Linked DNA regions of Drosophila melanogaster. The protein of the gene in region 3 interacts with the protein of the main gene of each other region in a pairwise test. Each region holds a gene or a part of one and is shown on either strand. Other genes may lie near its edges. The genes, in order: Thor, mxt, eIF4E7 and eIF4G2.

Region 1 (3,263 bases), on a different chromosome or scaffold from region 3:
TTACTACTTTGGGGGTCAGTTGGCACCCAGCTAACTCCCACCCCCATCTAGTGTAATTGATGGATTTGGGTCATGCTTTCCCCAATTCAAATATGCTCCTCGTCACATGGAAATCTACTTTCAAGGTCTGTCAAGCTTCCCCATTTAGCCATCATAAATATTAGCACGCTTAAGTATCGACCTTGTGCAGATTTCTAGGTGGGCGCCATCCCCTGTCCCACATCGAGATCATGATCGCCGCAGATCAACACACGTGGCCACCTTTTGTCAACCCCATATCCCTCGGAATGGCCCGTGGCCAATATCCGAATTACGTCGAATCGTGGGCGCCAACGTAGGCAAAAGTTCCTGTAGCACTATTTACATGCGTCCAACGATTAAATATCGTCAACATCGCCCCCGCATAGCTAAAACCGCTCGTGCCGCTGCTTGGATCCACCCTATGCTTGCTGCGATCAGTGGGGCATATTAGTTTGATTCCAAACAAGATATTCCACCTCAAAGAACTTGGGAACTAATAAGGGTTCGATCACCAAATTTGGTGATATGATATATGTATTTCTTTAGATATGTGCGCTAATATTAAACGGCTAAGAAGTCAATGTGCCAAAGAAAAGATATTAAATATGTATGTTTCATATCAGTCAAGTTAAATTTTGATATGAGCTAAGCGTACTTTTGGATTGTGCACTCCTAAATATAGAAATCACGCTAAAATTGCATATCTAAGTAAATAAAGCAAGTAAGTTATGTAAGACGTGTATCTTTTCGTGATAATTATTTCAAAACGGCTCGTGCCAGATAATAATGAACACTTTCCGCCTGAAAAAAAGTGAAATGCTGGGTATCTTTTAGCCCATAAAAACCTGCAATATCGTTGCTCAAATTGCTATGCTCCGCGAGTTCGCACATGCATAGAAGGCACTCATAGCCTACGTCACGATTGCCGGCGACGTGTCTTTATGCTAATTAATGGTATTTCGCGAAAACGAGTGCAAAATAATGGCCCCATGGAGAGAGCGGCAGTACTTCACGAAATTCTGCGGAACACCTCTTGACTCCCAGACAGCCATAGATAAGATCCCAATTGCACCTGAGTCATCATCATTTCCCTAGCAAGATCGACAATAGACTTGGTTTTTAGAAAAGAATGCGATTGGCGTTTAGTGCTGTTGGCTAACTTGTTTACCAATAATATTGCCGTGCATTAAACAATAACAAATGACCAAAGATAAACAAGAGCTCAAGGCGAGAAGCCCCTCAAGACAGCCCCCCACCATCGCTACACCCCTTATCATCTAGAACCTCCGAGGTGTGCAGGCTGCAACAAAAATAAGAACAATAGGGGAATATATTAGAATACGGCAATAACAACAAGAACCAGCCGGTTTGTCATAAACTACGCAGAAAATACACCAGATAAAAACAAAAAACATCAGCCGACCAAGCAGAATAATCAGGCGAGAGAGCAGGCGAAAGAGCGAGAAGAGAGCGAGAGAGAGTAAGAATGGGGGGGTATAAATAGAGCCACACTTCGTAATACCGCCAGCAATCGCCTAGCGAACAGCCAACGGTGAACACATAGCAGCCACACAAGCTCTATAGCTGATACAAGCAACGAAATACAAACAACGCAGTTTGTGTAAACAATCAAATTGTCGCAGCCATATCGAGTGTGCTTACACGTCCAGCGGAAAGTTTTCGAAACCAATCCAATCAATCAGCTAAGATGTCCGCTTCACCCACCGCCCGTCAAGCCATCACCCAGGCCCTGCCCATGATCACCAGGAAGGTTGTCATCTCGGATCCGATCCAGATGCCCGAGGTGTACTCCTCGACGCCCGGCGGAACCCTCTACTCCACCACTCCTGGAGGTAAGTTTCGAAAATTGGAAGCTGAGACTACATCGAGTATTATTAAGTTCCTTCCGGAAAGTGGAGTGATTTTCTTATCATTAGATATGATATCAAGATGAAATTAATCAACATATTTCGAAAACATAAACAAGTATACCGTTTCTTTCCTTTGCTCAAACAACAAACAAGCTTTTGTTTGAGTTGTGATACATTATTTTTGTAAAACTCACTCACCATTTTTTGGCTGATGAAACTGGGCCATCTCGCCGAGTCAGTCAGTTGGAAGATAATCCCGAGCACATGTTCCACAGTTCGTGACTCAGAGTAGCGCGGCAAAGAAGCGTTTACTCAGCTGGCTTATCAGTGGGGAACTTTGAATACCTTTCTGATGCAACGCAGACCACCTTGACTAATAAAAATTTCCGCTTTCCTATAATTCCAGGCACCAAACTTATCTACGAGCGGGCTTTCATGAAGAATCTCCGTGGCTCCCCATTGAGCCAAACTCCGCCGTCCAACGTGCCCAGTTGCTTGCTGAGGGGAACTCCGCGTACTCCCTTCCGCAAGTGCGTGCCCGTCCCCACGGAACTGATCAAGCAGACCAAGTCGCTGAAGATTGAGGACCAGGAACAGTTCCAACTGGATCTGTAGGGGGTGTGGCGTGTACACCGCCATGCAGCAACTGCCAAATCCAACTAGTTCTTAGATGCACCCACTAAAACCGATCTTATAAGCTTAGTGTACCCATTAACTAGATGCTAAGTTCTTAGTTCTTCCACCTTGTTTGTTCTCTCGGTCATATTGACCCCGTTACCTTGTAAAATCGTAGATCTTAAGTAAAATGCAATAAAAAAAAGGCACACATTATTTAAAAGAGAACCACACCTTCCATTGGGATTCAGTAGCTGCCAATTTACAATTATAAATTTTAATTTATGTTTGAGAAATTCAGTGCCAAATTACTTTCTTTATCGGCAATTCAACCTTGGCAGGCCACGCGTTATGTGATAGAACACTTTCCACTTCACCTTGAGTCAGTTTCGGTTTAGTAGTATTTTCGGCAGTTTGTTGAACTGTTTGAACTGTTTACGAAGAAATTTAGCGAAAGGGGGCTTTTTGGGGGGCGGTACACATGTTAGACAGCTGGAAATACCGGCCGGCTTTTTAGTTAGCCAGTCAGTCAGTGGCCCCAGCAGCGCGTGTCCCACTTATTGCAAAGATATGCATACATATTTATAATGTATCCAAAAACCGGCAAACAAACGCCACAAAAAAATAGATCTTTAAGAAACTGCGCAGTTGGGAAACGACCTCGCCTTTGGCCCCCGCCCCGCCCTTTACCATTTTTCTTATATATACAAAAGTAGTGTGCTGAGCACATGTTCGTTCAGATAGACCGATCCCTTG
Region 2 (7,031 bases), on a different chromosome or scaffold from region 3:
ATTTCTAGGGTTAGTTTGCATATTTTTCAATATTCTTTTTTTTTTGTTTGTTTTGTTTTGGTCGTTTTGAGTTTGCGATTGTTAGATGTGGCCATGGCCAAAAGCATTGAAGCATACTGCAGCTCCGTCTGGGAGCAGGCACTTCACCCCGGGACACTCTATATTGTCAGTTCGAGCCGCTCGATTGATGGCTTTATTCGTCCAGAGTCTCGACCTCATCGGCAGCCACAATGTCTCGCTTGGCGGCCGTCTTAATGCTGGCCAGATACTTATCACCATCGAAGCGCTGGCTCTCATCCTGCAGATCCTGTTGTCGAACAAAGAAATGGTTTAATATCTGATTTCAAAGTAACATTGACACGCAAGCTATCCAGGGATGAACGAACATATATACATACGGAACAGTTTAGTAACTAAGTTAGCCATCTGGAGTGGTGGTTAGGTGGTGATGTTATGATGCTTCGGTGGTAAAACACAAGTTACAATTTATAATTTACAATGTGTGGGGTGTGTGGTGGTGTAAGTTAAACCCAGCCAAGCTTTGTTACGGACTTTGAAAGTCCTGTTTATTAGTTAATATAAATCGTATTGATTACAGATTTGTAAATGTTGGTTTGAATTCGAGAATGTTTGTTTGTTAGCGGTTAAGCGGTTTCAACCGCCTTTCCAGCTTATCCTTAGCGACGACTTAATCTGTTTCACAGCCAAAACACAGATTCTCCCTATAGTTACATTTTAATTTCAATGCATTATATGTATTGTTACCTCTAAGACTAGCGATCGGTTTGGTTTCGATGGTATGTCGTTAATCTAATGACTGGATGATGATAATGATAATGATGTATTGACTTGATTCATTATCAAGTTCTTCACGCTTCACCTTTTCTTAATGATAAGTTATATAAAATTAAAACAGCAAAAATACTGACATGAAAAGAAAAGCCTATCTGTGACTGAGATTCAATAATACGTATTCCGGCTACGTAAAATTAAATTAAATTAAATGAAATTAAATGAAATTACACATAAACGCGGTTATTATTCGATTCTGTTTCGCACAGTGCCAATGAAAACTCATCGTCCTCGCAGTAGCGTTGAAAAATTGCCTTCACTTGTGATGTTTGATAGCTAGACTGGCGATGCTTTCCTTGTGTTGCCACCGATTGACCCACAGTATTAGTTATGATTTGCAATTGCTTGTTATACAGGTTTCGATCGGACACGGCCGATGTTTTGGGAAGGCGACGGTTCTCGCGTTCGGCGAAGATCCCTTTTGATTGCTTGTTAGTGACGGTTAGGGGATTGTTGTCTGCCGACGCATCGACAGCAGCTAGTCCAACGGCGGTGCTGATGATATTTGTGTTCGGGGAGGAGGTTATTGCATTTAAAGCCCACGGATGTGTTATTACTGATGAGTTAGGTGCACTGGCGATGATAGCATCGGGGATGTTCGAAGAGTAAGCCGTACGGCCAAGTGAGCCATCGAACGGCGAAATTACCTTGTTGCGCAGAATCGAGGGCGCTGTCTCCTGCATCTTTTGCCAGTCGGTGGGCAGGGTCCACGAGTGCGGACTCATGGAGTAGTAGAGCAAGTGTTCAATATCGTAAGAAACGCGAGCTGTAATTTAAGTTTAAGCATCAAAGACTTGGTTAAGCATAAAAGGATTGTAATCTTACATGCATTGCTTTTCAAGGAATTGGTGCCTGCCAAATCGTCCAAGTCACCCTTTTCCCGAGCGCCCTTGGTCTCCGGCGTGGACTCCTTGCGCGAAAAGTGGCTGCGACGCGATCTGGCCAGTCCATTCTGATTGCTAGTCGATGATCCTCCATTGCTGGGCTCAGCGAACACCTCGTCGTCGCCTTCACCATTGTTGTTCGCTGACGAGGAAACAACGCAATTCAGTCCAATGCCACTGTCCGTGCCGGGCAGCCAAAATTGCGGCGGCCCGGCTCCGGGAAGCGGAGTCGATGGCGTGGTCACCAGCGAAGTGCCGTCGAAGGCGGCGCCAGCCTCAATGGATGCCAGAAACTCCGAGCTGCTAAAATAGTCATCGAGCACGAGTTTGGCCACCTTGAAATCGCAGGGGATTTAACAAATTTCACAATTGAAAACTTCAACATTACTCACGCGCACTAGTTCGCAGCAGTCGCCGGTGATCTTGATCAGGTGCTGGCCCACGTTGACCGTGAACTTGTATTCACCTACGGAAGCATCGTTTGTGGAATATGAGTGCATTAGCAGCTGTTGATTGGGACGCAAGACTTTACCGGCAGCGGCTGTCGCCTGAGCATGTGCCGCCGCTGCTGCTGCGGCGGCTACTGCGGCGACCTGCTGCTGCTGTTGGTGCTGCAGGTGATGCGTTTGGTGGTGCATCTGCTGCGAGATCTGCTGTGCAGCAGCTGTGGCGGTCATGAAGTTTTGGGCCGAGTTAAAGCTTAGCCGGTTGGCCAAACTGCTTCCGGTTGGCGTTCTTGGTTGCACAATGGCGTCGTCCGAGTTGGACGAGTTAAGCGAGGAGCAGGATCCTCCAACGGCAGGAGCGGGTTCCAGGCGCACCGGCGAGGCGTTCCGACGAATGGTGTCCTCCATAAGTTGTTTGGCATAGCTGTCGTAGAATTAAAACATTTTGACATAAAGGTAAATTAGCTTTAATTTATTTACTTTACTCACTTAATTTTATCCTCAGCTGGACCAGTAATCTGCACCAAACGCTCCTTGGCACCCGGGTTGACTAATGAAAACAAGGCATTCATAATTGTTCTCGAAAAAAGCATTTATATTTATGAAAAATAATTGGGATGCGAAAACATTTAAAAACAAAATGCATATATACAGTATGAAAATATGTGATTTCAAAATGCCTTTAACGATCAATTTTGGCTTAATGTGGTGTCGTTGAATGGACAAAATCTGGAACATGCGTATTTATAATTTCTATTAGTAAATTTTGTAGAAGCCACCGGGCATTAATTGATTTAAATAAGCGTGCCAAATGAAATGGGGGTGCGGTGAGGATCACAATTAAAACCAGCTCTCTGGAGTTACCTCTTTGAAACGATATAATGGTTTCGCTTAGCTCCTCGATCATGTGCACGCGACGCCCCTTGATGCCCATTACTTTTTGGCCACGGGAATGGAGGAATACATTATTGAAAACCATTTCTGTAGATCTGTGTGCTCCAGAACACTCCTCAGCTGATTGAAAAACTTACCTTTGCCGGAGTCAGCATTGCGAATCACGACCTCGTCCTTGCAGTACGTCTTGCCAGGAATCTTGGTCGGTTTGGGGAACTTGCCCGAATTACGAATGACCTCACCGGGCGGCAGCAGCATGTGCTGCTGGTTGGATGTGCCCACGGCCGCAATGGCCGCAGCTTGGGCGGCTGCAGCTGCAGATGCTGCATTGAAGACGGCGGCAGCGGCGGCTGCGGCTCCATCGTTAACGCCACCAACACCGCCGCTGACGCCGAATGTGGGGGAGGTGCTGAAGGCGCCAGGCTGCACGCCGGCATCGTACTGGTATTCCGAAGGCAGCTGCAAAGCAACGATACATATTTGATCGTTTTCCAAAGTGAGATCGATTCTATGTACTCTACTCACCTCCACGTTGGAGATCTGCTGCTTGGACTTGTAGTACGCGATTGTGTCGTCATTGTCCCAGCTCTTGGCGCGCAGCTCGATGAGTTCGAGCAGCTTGAGGCGCGTCGTTATATTCAGCCGTTCGTCCTGCGAAGCGTTGCGGAAAACGACGAAGGCCCGGTCCAGTGTATCCTTGGACACCGCCTCCAGTTGCGGTCCATGCACCCGGAGGTTGTGCAGGAGCAGCGTGATCGATTCCGGCGTGGTGTTGCACGACTGAAGACCGACGGTCACGTTGTCTATCAACTGGATTAGCTCCTCGATCACCAGGTAGCTGTTCTTCAACGACGATCGCGATTGTGTCTTCAACGGGCGTGGCGCCTCAATGTTTTTCACGGCGCGTCCCAGGTGTGTGTGAGCCATTCTCGGGATTCGTTGGATTCGATATCGTCTCGTGAAGAAGTCTTAAGGTTGTCCCGCCTGGTGTCCGGATCTGCTGATTTCAGTCTATATGGTCTGCTAACTTATTCGTTCGTTTAAATGTTGTTGAAGAATTGATCAAAAATGAATCGTAGAAGCTGTTTCCGCACCTCCCCCTGTAAACACAAGAAAGGTTAGTTATCGATCAAATGTATTGTTTACATTAAAACTATTGTACTATTTGGATACATGCTTTCAGCTGCTAGGATGATCAAAGCCGACTATATTGCATTAGAACTTGGGAGTAATGGCCGAGAGCATGGACAACCAAAAGGTTTCTTAGGATATGGAGATTGGCCTCGTTTCCGACCGAATCTCGAATATTGCGACGCAAAGCTCTCGTATATCTTAACGATGTGCACGTTTGATAAGCGGCTTTAGCTGATAACACCGCGATTTATCTATAGTTTAGTGGCCAAATTAACCCATTGGCGCCTTCTGAGCTTCTGGCTTCTGCTCAGTTAATCGGTGCGAAGTTCCAAAAGCAAAATATGTAAATAATTGATGAAAATTGTTGGCATATATCGAATGGGAACGACAAACGGACGACCATTTGTGTTATTTCAGTTCGACTTTCGCTCCATGCGAACAACTCATTTCTTTTTTAAATATCACTTACTGCCGCTGCAGCAACAGCAGCAGCAGCAACAACAACAAGAACAAACAAACATGGGCAACTAAAACACAGCTAACAGAAATATTACAAAAAACTGAAATTGTCCGTGGGAGGGAGAAAGAGAGAGGCGATCGCTCTATTGAATCATATGTCGAGAATAGCAACAACAAGAATGGCCTCTGCCGACGTCGACGATGGCAGCGCAGTTGACGACCGTGTTGGGCGTAGAACAAAAAGGAAGTTAACTTTCAGGAAACAGGGTCTATATATCCATATATTGCATCCGTTTTCGGCCAAAATTCTCTGTGAAATTGAGTAATATTTTAATGGCACTGGCCGCTTTTCGTTAAAATAAGCAAACTACGCGTTTTGCTGGCGACCGACTTTGCACTCTCGTTCTAGTTTCAACACTTTTGATGTTTAGTCTTCGTCGCGCTTATTATTTACTTTAATGGCCGATTGAAACGTCTCTTAAAACGGTGTATTTTGGATCGTAATTTCCAATAAATTACTAGAGCTTACCAAAACCAAAATCTCTGCGACTGCGACTAAAATCGTTTTTTACGGTGGGTGTTGCCACCTGATCGAACACGTTAGATTTTAGAGATGCGCCACAGCTATCCAGACCAGTTCACGTAAAGCGCAGTCAAAAAGCTCACATCAATTTCGCATCACAGATGTGTTCGTATTAAAATTTAAATTTAAATATGAAATAAATGTTACGAAATCAGACACTTATCGCTGATAACCAACAATTCACTATGGTATCTGGACGCTGGGCAATTACTATTCCCCGCCGGTTGTGTCTGCATGGGATCGAAAATGTTAAATATATATTATATTACGTTGGGCATTAATATATCGCTTACTAGTTAACAAATGAAGATTTACTGGTATAGCGGAAAGTTTAGAGAATACATTTGGAAACTACTGTTCTTTTTTAAGAACAACAGGACTCTTAAGAAAATACTTCAGGGGAAACTCCCTAAAATTTTAAGCACGAAAATATCGATAGAAAACATCGGCTGTTCCTTCAATTTGTTGTTATTGAAATTTTTGTTTGCCATCGCTAAGCAAAACTCAAATAAAATTAAGTTGATATATTTATAAAGTGTATTCCCACTCTCTAAGGTGCGAGATGTCTGAAAACGGGGACGTGGAGGCGGCACCAGAGGATTCCAAGGAAGTCGTTCCGGAGTCCGGCAAAGATGAGCCTGAAACTAAGCCGCTGAAAATGTCGTTTGCAGATTGGAAGAAATGCAAGGATGCACTGAAACCGGATACCAAAAGCGGACTACAACGGAGCAACAATAACAATAGTAACAACAACAACAATAACAACAACGGCAACGGACGTAAACATTGGTCTTCGAATAGCAACAATGCCTTTCATGGAGGCGGAGGTCCGCAAAGCTACCAGGACAGGAACTATCCTCCGATGAATCGACCGCCTCCACTTCCTATGCAGCTGATGAACATGGGCTTTGGAGGCAATTTTGGGCCTGGACCCGGACAATGCGGTCCCCCCATGGGGCCAATGGGACCAGGAGGACCTCGCGGTCCCATAAGCAATATGGGTCCCTGTGGTCCCATGAGCAGTATGGGCCCCGGTGGTCCAGTGGGCTTTGGAGGACCACGTGGTTCTGGGCCCCGCCGGAATCACAATCACCGACCTCTGCAGCCGCCTCCGTTCTGGGAGGACATGATGTCGCCACAACATAGACCACCACCAATCCAACCGCCCATGCCCAAGTGCCCCAGCTTGTGGAATCTGGTACCCAAGGAGCAGGGAGCACAAAACAATCGCAGCAATCCAAACCAGAATAACAAGAAATTCAAGGTAAACCATCGCGGCAACAGTGACAAAGATACGAGGCTTATGCCTCCGCCCCCACCGCCAAGCAATGGCAACAATTCGCCGTCAAACGGGGAAGCGCAGCCCTCCAAGAAGCCCAAGCGCTGCGGCACATTTGTCCAGGTCAATGGCCAATGGATACAGAAGCCAGAGGCACCACCGCCGCTCGAGGATGCACCGCCTGGTACGAAGGAGGAGCGCCAGCGCCAGTGGAAGGAGTACCGTATGGCCATGAAGCCCTTTAAAAACCGTGAGTTCCACAACTGGAAGCGAACGGTGCAGCGTTTGGGGAAGCTGCCGCGCGACCAGCTGGACGAGCAGCAACTGGAACGACTACAGAAGGCCGAGGAGTATATAGTTGCGCACAAGGCGATGCTGACGGTGAAGCATGCAGAGCGCTGGGTGGAGCAGGACAAGAATGAAAAGGGCCAAGTGTTCGTGCGCAAGTCATCCAGCATCGGCTCGTGGGACATGTCCAAGGAGAGGCCGCCGAATGGTTT
Region 3 (6,073 bases):
GGAAGAAATTAGAAGGTAGGAAAATGGTCACAGCAAGGCACAGAAAATACATTAAGCACATTAAAGCCCGTCAAATGGAAAAGTGGCCAAGAACAGCAACAAAAGGAATTCAGTGCCAGGAGAACGCACCTGCCTCCACTCCAACATCATTGGCTCCCCTTACGTGGTCACCCAAAGCAGTCACAATAAAATGCCAACTGCCAATAAATGCCAATAAATCAAACAATTGAGCACGGCCAAGTTGTGTGACGCCGTGCGCCAAATAAGTCCAACGGCCAATGTCCAATGTCCAAATGTCCCATGTCCGCTGACCGATGTGAAAGCGAACAAAAAGCTAGCAACCAACTTCTGAATGCCCGCCCCAATGGTTAGCAGTGGAGCAGACAAAGAACATCCAATACACCGATTGGAACTCAGGAATCGAGACAAACCATGTTGCATGTTCTTGGAATCGGGTTAAATTAGTAAAGAAGGTGCATAGTTAGAAACATTTCGCAGTCTCTCTCCAACACTCTCCAATTTCACACTTTAAAACAAACAACTTCTTGACCAAATAGTTATGTATTTATTTCGTCGCTCTATAGGAGCAACATTCAAATTTTTATGTACAACGTGTACGTGTACGGATGGTTTGACTAGAGATTTGGAACCCAACTAACTATCGATCGATGGCTGATCACACCTGCTTGACATTTCAAGTTCTTGTGAAAAAATACCGAAAATACTGAAAATGTTTCGATTCGCAATTGTCTGATGAGAACCTATACAGTGTATATTCTCTTCACAGTTGATCCCAGTTTATCCTTGGAGTCCTTGTGCAACTGATACTCCAGCACGTATATGTTGTCCATGCGTAGAACCTTGCGTAAAATGCGTCCAATTTCAAGGACTGTAGTCTGATTTCCCCCGTCAGCGTTCCAAATAGAGATCTTGTTCGACTTTCCGCGAATATTGACCACAACGCCACAAAGATCGTCCGAGTGCTTACAGGCCTCTCCAATCAGACAGAGCATGGCGTCCATCCAGAAACTGTCCAGAGCCATCTTGGCGCTCTTGGTCAAGTTGATGACCCAGCGTCCTCCATTGACATTGGCCTCATCCTCCCACATGGGTCGAATGCCCTTCTTGAACAGGGAGTAGTCACTGCCCAGCATAAGCTCGGATGGGGGCTTGATGTGAGTGATCAGGCTCCAAAACTTCTCCACGGTATCGAAGCTTGTAACCTTGTGCAGCATTTCTTCCCAACTTTTATTTCGATCGTTCTCTAGATACCACAGAGTCCAGCAGTTGTTGAGTGGATGTTGAGGATCCTCGACCTCCAAAAGTTCGGCGTTCTCCGCCGCGATGGTCAGATCATCATCACATTTATTGTTCAGTGACAGAAATTCTAGTGAATTGTCAAAAGCGACCACCGCATCTTCTTTTTTGGCCGGTGGACATGTGTTCTGTTTAATCCTGGGCTCGAGCCTCAAGCTCAAAAGCTTCTGCTCGGATAACCGCATTAGGACCTTCTGCCCTAAAAGATTTTCTTGTGTGATTATCTTTCCCTGCATATTCTTTTCGATTAGCTTCTTGTCCTGCAGATCCTTGTCGAGCACATTCTTCCTATATTGTGCACTAGTCGACTGCTCCTGTTCAGGGCTATTTTCTTTCTGCTGGACCATCTGTTTTCCTTGGCCTTTACCCTTCTCATTGTCATCATTTCCCGTCGACTTTCCATCTTTGCCCGGATTGTTGCTTCGACTGCTCTTGCTCGTCTGACTGGGAGTGCGTGGCGCATTCTTTTGATTCTTCTTGCCCTTCCGGTTCCCCTTGCCACGTTTTTGGGGCTCTGATGGCGACGTTTTGTTTGGATCATTCATCGGTTCTTGGGTCTTTTCTGGTTGAGTATCTTCAGTGGATTGAGGAGCTGCAGCAGGCTGGGTAACATCAGTTGGTGACTCCACTTTTTGGGGACCTTGTGTGGGATATTCATTGTTGTTCGCACAGCTTTTAAACATTGTTCTCGGATTGGCAAAGTCCCTCATCCTGTAAAAGCTGTTGGGAAGCATGGCGGCTTTGTTCGAGGTCAGCAACGGCTGTAGAGTTATACGGAAATGGCGAGGTTAGCGCTATGTTTAAACAAACAAATCTAACAAAAAAAAGGGTTAATATAATGGCGATTTTTGGGATCTTTCATTTTCGTAGCTTCCTATACAATTATATATATGATGAATCCACAAAGCCAAGCCAAACGCTCTTTCTGAACTTCCGACTAATGAGGCAAACAAGCCAACATGCCCCTTTTCTCTAAGACGTGAGCTGGAAATTTCTTCTTTGGAAGCACGAAAGGAAAAACTGACCAAGACCAAGGGACGTGTGCAGAAGTTGGCAACTTTAGCAACAAATATTTACACACCCCCCGAACTGAATGATTTGAGTGGGTGCAAAACCCCAAACACACGGGTGTAAGGTAACACAGCACGCATTTCTTATTAGCTGGGTCAAGTTGTGCTTGCCCCTTGGAAATAACCGAGTAAAAGCGTTTTTCACACGCCAAAATCTCCGATAGAAAAGATTACGATGCCTTGGTATTTACGCATCTTTTAAAATCATTAAAAATTCTCTACATTTACGATATGCAGCGGACGAAGGAATCTTTATGTAATGGCATCACAAAAGTAAACCACCAGGAGAACAAACTTTGATTTGACTCTGGCTGCCATAAGTTAAAATGGGGTCAAAAGGACTCGAATTTATGAGTGAGAAAAAATCAATCAGAAATTGGAATCAGAAACAGAATCCAAGGCGTGGCAAATGTTTGAGCGGACTTGGACTTTGAGCGAGTGTTGTGCTTTCACGCTTTTGGCAAGCAGTTTATGGCCATTTTATTTGACCCGATTTTGTTTTAATGGAATATCTGTGCCTTAACCATGGACTTCATATGTACATTTGTATCACTTGGCATGGGCTAAGAACTGTACAGATATGGGAATCTCCTTTCACTTCTGCCATACAAATTAGGGAAACAACAAAGGCAACACATTGCAGGAGGTTTTCCTTCTTAAAAGCCGTTTAGGGATCTCATACCCGACATTTCCAAATGTTCCTCTTTTAACTTAAATGACATCAAAATGAAAAGCAGGGCCAAAACAGAAACAGAAACTACAAGACGTGCGGGTGCACTTAGCGAAAGTATTACAGAGATCAACTAAATTTTATCGCGACAGTAGTTTAGATTATAGCATGTAATGAACTGCTTTTGAATCTTTATGTCACTGTACTTTGGCGATCTAGATTCATTTCAATGAATAATTTACTTATGGGAGTAGTCGAAAGCCACAATAGAAGGCACCTTGGATTTCTCTCAGTTCCCGCAAAGCAGTTTCGCCCTTCTCAGTTCCTATCGATGCAATTTTTTATTTGGCCCGATGCGATGTAAATATTGCATTAGACGGGGCCAAAGTGTTGGGCAAATTTATTGGCAGCACATAAATCGAGGACTCGCCCTCAACGGGTCGGTTGTCGTCTGTTGAAAAAGTAAATGTTCTAAAGGTAAATATGCACACAGCGAGGAAGTGGCACTCATTCAGTTGAACGTTGGAAGTGGGAAGGAAGTTGAAGGAAGGTGGACTACTCTACATTGGCATCTGTGCTCGCCTTCTGTGACCTATGACCTGTGAGCCATCGTCGCTGGCTGAAATGCCGAAATGTTGAAATGTTCAAATGCCGGCTGCTGACTGCTAGCTGCCTCGAAAAACTGATGAAAATGCAAAAATGTTGTTCCCAGTCCTTGCCTTTCCCCTCGGCTGCTATGCCAATTTTAATTAACAAAAAACATGAGCAGCTCCCTGTTGCGTTGTGTGTGTTTTGTTTAGCTCTGTTTTGTTTTGTTTTGTTTAGTTTAGTTCAGCTCTGTTCTGTTTTGTTTTGTTTGGCTAGTTTGAACTTTGTTCCTCGTATTCTTGTATGCCGGTTGCACTAGACGGGTGATGGGGTTAAGCAGGGGTAGCTCCATCCCCACTACCGTCAATCCGCTCAATTGCTCTAGCCCAACTTTTTGCATACTTTCGGGGATTCCCAGTAATCGGCGGCAGCCAATGAAATCTAAGCTGACCGACAGACAAGACATACTACATACGACAAGGAACACACTACCTTATTTGTAAACGAAGATGACGAAGGAGGAGAAACCCAACGAACAGTTCTAATGCCATAATTAATCACTACGAATTGGGTCTACACAACTTACCTAACGCACTGCGAATATCCGAATACCGCTTAGGTCAATCAAAATATATCAACAAATAAATCGCAATGGTTTTGTAAATAAAATTTGACTAAAACCCGGTTGTTCTCACAACGAAGTGTCGTCCAAAACTGATTTATATTTCTAGACTTACTTTGCTCTGAAAAATGACTTTTGGTAACAAAAGTCCGGTCCCACTTCGGTACTATTCTGCATTTTTTCCCATCACTGGGATCGGATTCGCGAGTATATGGCCTAATCCGAACTCCACTAAGCGCTCCTGGATTACAGCTAAAGCATTTAATTAAAAAATTGCATTGCTTTTGTTTTTGCGCGCTGCCATAATTTGCATGCCAACAACACTATGGCCTGCCTGTTTGCTCATATCATTAATTCGCAATTTGGCCAAATAATAATGAATATTTTCATCTTGTGTCGCTTTTTGCCCTGTTCAGTTCAGTTCAGTTAGCTCTGAGCGTGTTTTTGTTCACATTTGTATATTTGTTCATGTCCGTTCAGACATTCGCATTCAAATGTTTTGCGTTTTGTGTTCTTGTGCAATGCAATTAATTAGAAGTGGATAAATGGTGCATGAGTGTGCGCAAATTAAATTAAATTCTATGTGCATTTTTGCATTTTGCCAGCGAATGAATCGCTCTGAAAAAGTCATTTGGAGTTGAAATGCAAACACGGCATTCTGAAATCATCAAGCATTATGAGAATGCATAAACTGAAATTGAACCATAAACGCATGCCCCCCGCAAGCGGATTGCGGGTATTATCATTATGAAATGCTAAATCGTGTAAAATATTTAAAGAGTCGTTAGCAGTTGCATTACGCAAAAAAGCAACACATCAAATACAAACATCCCAATGCATCAAAAAGGCAATCAGAGGGCGGTTGTGGCGTCGGTGAGTCCACCTCCAACCCGACCAACAGTTCGTGGCCGACTGAAGCAAACGACAAGGATTTCCCAGGACCTGCTCGATCGAGCAACAGAGGGACAGGCAACTTAACAGACAACCGTGGAAACTTAACAGCTGTTGTAGGCAACTCATAGACGGAATCATGAAGAATATTGTGCCAAAATACAGCATTTTCTTTTATTGCTTGCCCAAATAATCACATGATAAACCCACAAAGAAGCCAGATATCAGTAATTTAAATAACTTTGGCACAGCTTAAAAGCCATAAATACATGCATACAGCGTTACACGCACTTGCACTTGCGGTGCATATAATAAGCCTCAGTTTTTGGAAAATCCCTCGCCTTCACACATACCACGAACTTGGGATCTGTGGATGGGACTATTGCCATCAATAGCCTGGCAGAGGGCTATCAATGAAAATCAATGTTCATCATATCGGGGCCGCACTTCACTGAAGGCAATCGTCTGTTTTTTCTGGCCAGGAGCTCTTTCAGCGGAAACGAATGCATTTCCTCGCGGATCCATTCCAATCGCTGCTCCCAAGAAGGCACTAAAATGGTAGGTGGGCTCCTTAAATGTACATTCTGATATTGACACACTTTTAATACACTCTGACCCCAGCGAAAGCTTTTCCTAATTGGAAGTTTTTCTTACTTTGCCTCCGATCTACGAGTAGTTCATCAAATATATCCACATTCGACCGCCTCTGAAGCCGGGCAGCACCATCGTAGCTGTCCAAAAGGAGTCCCAAAAGGAGGAGTAACTTGATGAAAATTATCACGAACAAAACGCGGAACAGGCGTGTGTAGCTAGCCGACATATCGAATTTTGAATGATTCGGAACATACCGTCAAAAGCCAGAGTCACCGCGGCCTCGACATCTGTTCAAAACTGGTGGCGAAATGTTTTCTTTAT
Region 4 (4,870 bases), on a different chromosome or scaffold from region 3:
CTAGTGTCGGCGTTTGAGCAGCTCCCGGTGCCCCGCCTGGACCTTGTTGTTGAGCAGTGGGAGGAAGCTGTTTCTGTTGTGGAGGAGGTGGCGCAGCCGCATAGAATGAAGCTCCAGCCGCTCCGTTAGTGGGAAAGGTCACAGCTGGCTGCATGCCCATCAGAGGTCCGGTCTGATTAATTGGTATATAGGTGGCGGAAATGTAGGGTCCACCCGCATTTCCGCCGGCAGGTGCGATCAGGCCAGCTGATTGTTGAAAGTGGGGTGGTAGAGTTGGGTTGCTCAGGGCACGAGGCATGTTTGACCCCGGCGCCACGCCATTTGCTCCACCATGGTGACCACCAGTAAGAGGATGTCCCAACGTGTTGGAACTGGCGGCGGCGCTCAGTTGGAGGGTAGCGCCGCCGCCGTTGGCACTGTTGTTAACCGCCGCGGAATGCGCGGCGTAGGACGGCTGGGTATTGTAGAAGATGACCGGCTGGTGGTGCGCCTGGGCCTGGGCTTGCACCTGCTGCTGTTGTTGCTGTTGGATGTGTTGCTGAAGATGAGCGGCGGCGACGGCTGCTTGTTGTTGGTGTTGCTGCTGCTGCTGTTGCAGTAAGTGCTGCTGCTGGTGGTGGTGCAGGCCGCTGTGGTTCGGGACGAACACTGCGTGGGACTGCTGCTGCTCCTGCTGTTGCTGGAGGTGATGGTGGTGCGAGTGCGTCGCCTGGTGATGCTGGGCTTGATGGTTGTGGTTCTGCTGATGTGTCGACTGTGGCCTGGTTCCCTTCCCACCCCCTCCCTGTTGAGGGAACATAGGAGGACCTTCGAAGGATCTGCACACGCATACAATCGCACCGTCACACGCACAGGCACACACGGAGAGTTAGGAAAACCGCGGCCAGAGCAAAACAGATGTACAAATCGTAATGTTAGTAAGATGGAAATGAAAGTGAAAATGGAGTTGGCGATGTGGAAAATGCTTGGCGTATTAGGTTTTCAGTCAAAGCCGTGAGTACATGCGAATGAGAGTTAAATCAAACGTGTGCAAAAGCAACCAAAAATGATCATGCAAATTATGTGTTTACATCTTATGACTAAGGGCTATTTTACAAATGCACTCCCTCTTTTACCCTTTTCTTTATTCTTTAATATTTCAATCAATTGAGCTCTTTAATTGGAATGTGGTGTATGATGTCACTCGCGGGGCGTGTATACATCCAAAATGCTTTCGAAGATGGCTCGACACCTTATCGCGCCGGTTTTATCAATGGACTAGTCACTTGCGCAGCCTAAATACTTGTACATAGGTGACACACGGTAACAAGTGGCGCTATTAGTCAGTACTGGCCTTAAAGCGGAACAAAACAAAGGCAGCCACAAAGAAGCAGCTGCCAGCGAGCGTAGGAGGTGAGCTATGGGCTGCTGTCGTCTTTATGGCTACAACCAGTTTGGCATTCCGTCAGCACTTCCATCGGCACAGTGGAGACCGCAAGAACTAGATCACTTAAAACTGTTTACGATATGATTTCTTTTAGTTATAATACTACCAAACGGAATTTCATTGTTGTTTTGCTAAGCAAGCGTTCAATGCTGATTGATAAGAATATGAAGACAAACATTGGCCAATATTCACTGTGGTGTTCTCTTTGGAGCTCTCTGCTGGCCTAGAAAAACCAACTCCGCTGCAGTTTGCGGCCAAGCACCTTCAAGCCAGAAGAAAACCAGTTTTCCAGCAGACGAAGTACGTGCATGGCTCTTTTCACTCCATGGCGAGGAAAACGAAAACCTGGCTGGCAGATAGGCTCACTTGTTTCATGTTTGTTTGTAAACAAAACCAGTTGGAGTGTGTGGGTGCTGCTCTAAATGGGATCGCGATCGCTTATTGGGAGTGCATTCGTACTGGAGGCAGTGTGTTATAGTAGTAGTAGTGTGTTATTAAACTAATAAACAAACAATTAATGTAAATTGCGTGAAAAAGCAAGCAAATACTAGAATGGGAGTAAGTTGTAAGTCAGATTTCGAAACTTACCGCTTCCTGTGCTTCGATTGGTAGATGTGATGATTATAAGGGTATTCGATTTATCCTATTTCTTAGTTCCTAAGGTAGACCTGCCTTTAAGCCTATCCGGCTTCCCTTGACACCTGGTCAAGCTCTACGCCTCCTCCTGCTGCTGCTTATTTGCTCCTCCGTTCCTTTTTCCTATTTCTCGTGGAAACTCCTCGTCTTTGTGGTTGTTGGCTCTATCCGGAATACTACAATAGCTCAGATATTCCATGTATAAAAATACTCCAATTCACTGTGATGCACATGCACATCTGCATTTGTGCAGACGGACGAGGGGCACGTACACGTACATGCGTACAAATATACAAAATAACGTACGGCTAGTGCTAAAATTTCACGGTAATTTGTTCTGTAATTAAAGGCGTTAGAGGAAGTTAAAACGTATGCTTAAATTTTGCAATTGCGAGGAATCAAAATTACAATATGATGAATATGAACACCAAAGCAGCGCCTGCTACGAATTTATTCCCTCTCCTTGTCCAGCTGAGCAGCCTCAGCCCCGGATTGAGAATGAGAAATGGGCAGCCAAGTGCCAATTCGTAATTTGACACTAATGGCAAGGGGACTTTTTGTAGGTTTTTAACCTTTTTCAGATTTTCAGGTAATACTTTTCCCCGAAAAGGCGAGGCGTTGGTTTATGTTTTTTTACCGTTTTGACTTTTTGCCGTTCGCTCTTTTTTTGCGCTCTCTCTGTCTCTGTCTGGCCGCCAGTACTTACCGTTCTGCTCCTGCTCGCTAGCACGCTCTCTCGCTCGCACTCCACACACAAAACTGAGGAAGGAAACAAAAAAAAATGCAGTTCCACGCGGGGAACACGCCAAAAAGTTGCTCTGGCACTGCGCCTTTACATTAGTGCATCGTCTGCTTCACCTCGTTATGTATACACGGCTCACTATCTGTTACAAACAATTTTGTAATGTAAATAGTCTGCAGAAACACGTCCGTTTCGTTTGATGAAATAAGAGTGACCGTTGCACGTAGGGATGGAACATAACTCGATGGCGGCAGCATCGATGTCTACGCAGCGAATATCGATTGTGAAAGTTCCAGAAATATCCCGCAGGAATATTATACATTTTAGTGCGTCCTCAAACCGGGGTGGAGAACTTGGATTCAAGCTTGGCGCGTAATATTTTGAACGTTCTTCATCATAAGAATAATCATTCTTTCGAAATAGAAAAATAGGCCTTATGCAGGTGTTATAATAACAATTATTATATAATGCGCATTGTGGTGCATGACGCAGAATATCATATAAATTCCACACATATTTCGCTGTTATTATTGTTTATTCTAACTTTACATTTTAATTTGAATGATATATTCATAATTTACGCATTCGTAGGACAGCATATGCGCAGAATCCTGTTTCCATTCCATTCGCAACTTCCGGATTGCCTCCCCTTAATGCTCTTAGACTACCCCTCGTGCAGAAATTGCAGTGTTTACGCGCTTGTAGTAAAAGTTTTGCTCTTTCTGTTTTGCCGGATGCGCAACGCCCTCCACTTCCCACATAATCCTTTACTCTGCGCCCTCACCTCCCTCTAGTATCCGTTTTTCCAATGCTATACCCTTCTCTACTTATTACTCCTTATCTCAGTATACACTATGGCCAAAACTTTAAAGTAAAACGAGTGCAAGAATGAACTCGGAGCCTTATTGCAGCCTAAAAAAATTATATACACATAGAGCCCACAAACAGAGTCTGAAGGGATTATTTGGTGGTTGAAAATGCAAAAAGACTAGACCGCAAATGCAAATATTTTAACTTGGCACAACGAAACCGCATACGGACTGTCCGTATTTTGCATTTTTTTTTTTCCATTTCAGTTGTGAAGTCATTTGCAATGCTTGTTTTCCTGTGCGTACTGTCATGTTTTTGTGGCCTTTGCGGTTGCACTAAAGATAGTGTGAGGACAACAGATGAGTAAATGGACGAGGCTCTTACTTTTTTTCAATAATTTTGCTCTCAGCACAAACATTTTGAATATAACGGTCGCTGAGTGCGCTACCTGAGCGGCAGGTTTTGACAATACAATTCGAAAATGAAATTGCAACACTTTCCGAAATTTGGATCAAAAAGATACGATTTTTAAAGTTTTATTTAAATTTTATACATTTTTCAAAGATAATATCGTCTTACATCTTATTAATTTATTTAAAAGTATACTTATTAATTGAATCCCCCTTAAAAAAAAAGCCTCTGCTTTTTGGTATATTTTGAACCCATAATGATTTAATTTGGTATTTCTTTCAGCACCGCATGGTATCTTTCGGGGACGCGAGTGCAGCCACACCAAAAGCGAATTCCTTTACTCCCGCTGCGGTCACACTAAGTCCGAAGCTTGATTCGCCCTGACGCGCGTAACGCTTTTTTCCCGCATCACTTTCCTCCACTTTGGCGCTGAAAAATTCTGCACAACAAGAAGAGAATGCACCAAACTGAAATTGCAACCGACTGCGACTACTGCACCTGAGCCGGTTACGAAATCAACTCTTATATTACTCATATAATTTTGGCATCCATGTAGAAACGAATAAAAATAGTGCGCGAACTGAAAACCCGTTAAAACGAGAATGGGCATAGCCCAAAATAAAACTTTTTCGTTTCTTTTTTACCGTTTATTTAACACAATCAATTAAAATAAAACCAAACACAAGATTTACTCAAAGTAAATCGCGTATAAGCTCGACTACCATAAATGTTAATGTGAAAATTGTGCAATAATTAGAGAAATTTCTAAAAGAAATTCATAAGTGCGGTATTCGTAAATTGCATTGTTTGCAAATGCAAAAAGCAAATGTTATGCAACTATAAGT

The links.
Region 1: the proteins of eIF4E7 (region 3) and Thor interact in a two-hybrid assay, tested with the Drosophila melanogaster proteins (2 studies listed by BioGRID).
Region 2: the proteins of eIF4E7 (region 3) and mxt interact in a two-hybrid assay, tested with the Drosophila melanogaster proteins (2 studies listed by BioGRID).
Region 4: the proteins of eIF4E7 (region 3) and eIF4G2 interact in a two-hybrid assay, tested with the Drosophila melanogaster proteins (one study listed by BioGRID).

What each region holds. Positions count from the first base shown.
Region 1 is NT_033779.5:3,476,887-3,480,149, forward strand, and holds Thor (thor), read left to right. Parts: upstream 1-1,547; 5' UTR 1,548-1,729; coding exon 1,730-1,874; intron 1,875-2,298; coding exon 2,299-2,507; 3' UTR 2,508-2,726; downstream 2,727-3,263. UniProt on the Drosophila melanogaster protein: Repressor of translation initiation that regulates eIF4E1 activity by preventing its assembly into the eIF4F complex. Hypophosphorylated form competes with eIF4G1 and strongly binds to eIF4E1, leading to repress translation.
Region 2 is NT_033779.5:4,842,041-4,849,071, forward strand, and holds mxt (mextli), read right to left. Parts: upstream 5,256-7,031; 5' UTR 5,199-5,255; exon of another isoform or gene 5,124-5,198; intron 4,725-5,123; exon of another isoform or gene 4,676-4,724; intron 4,311-4,675; exon of another isoform or gene 4,239-4,310; intron 4,177-4,238; 5' UTR 4,004-4,176; coding exon 3,602-4,003; intron 3,536-3,601; coding exon 3,214-3,535; intron 3,119-3,213; coding exon 3,047-3,118; intron 2,733-3,046; coding exon 2,672-2,732; intron 2,607-2,671; coding exon 2,129-2,606; intron 2,072-2,128; coding exon 1,678-2,071; intron 1,619-1,677; coding exon 1,020-1,618; 3' UTR 544-1,019; downstream 1-543. Other genes in the region: CG11927 (uncharacterized protein), read left to right, coding at 5,815-7,031. UniProt on the Drosophila melanogaster protein: Plays a role in promoting translation.
Region 3 is NC_004354.4:1,158,055-1,164,127, forward strand, and holds eIF4E7 (eukaryotic translation initiation factor 4E7), read right to left. Parts: upstream 4,336-6,073; 5' UTR 4,232-4,335; intron 2,079-4,231; 5' UTR 2,052-2,078; coding exon 762-2,051; 3' UTR 545-761; downstream 1-544.
Region 4 is NT_033777.3:23,816,213-23,821,082, forward strand, and holds the start of eIF4G2 (eukaryotic translation initiation factor 4G2), read right to left. Parts: upstream 3,026-4,870; 5' UTR 2,769-3,025; intron 2,608-2,768; exon of another isoform or gene 2,400-2,607; 5' UTR 2,015-2,399; intron 819-2,014; 5' UTR 800-818; coding exon 1-799.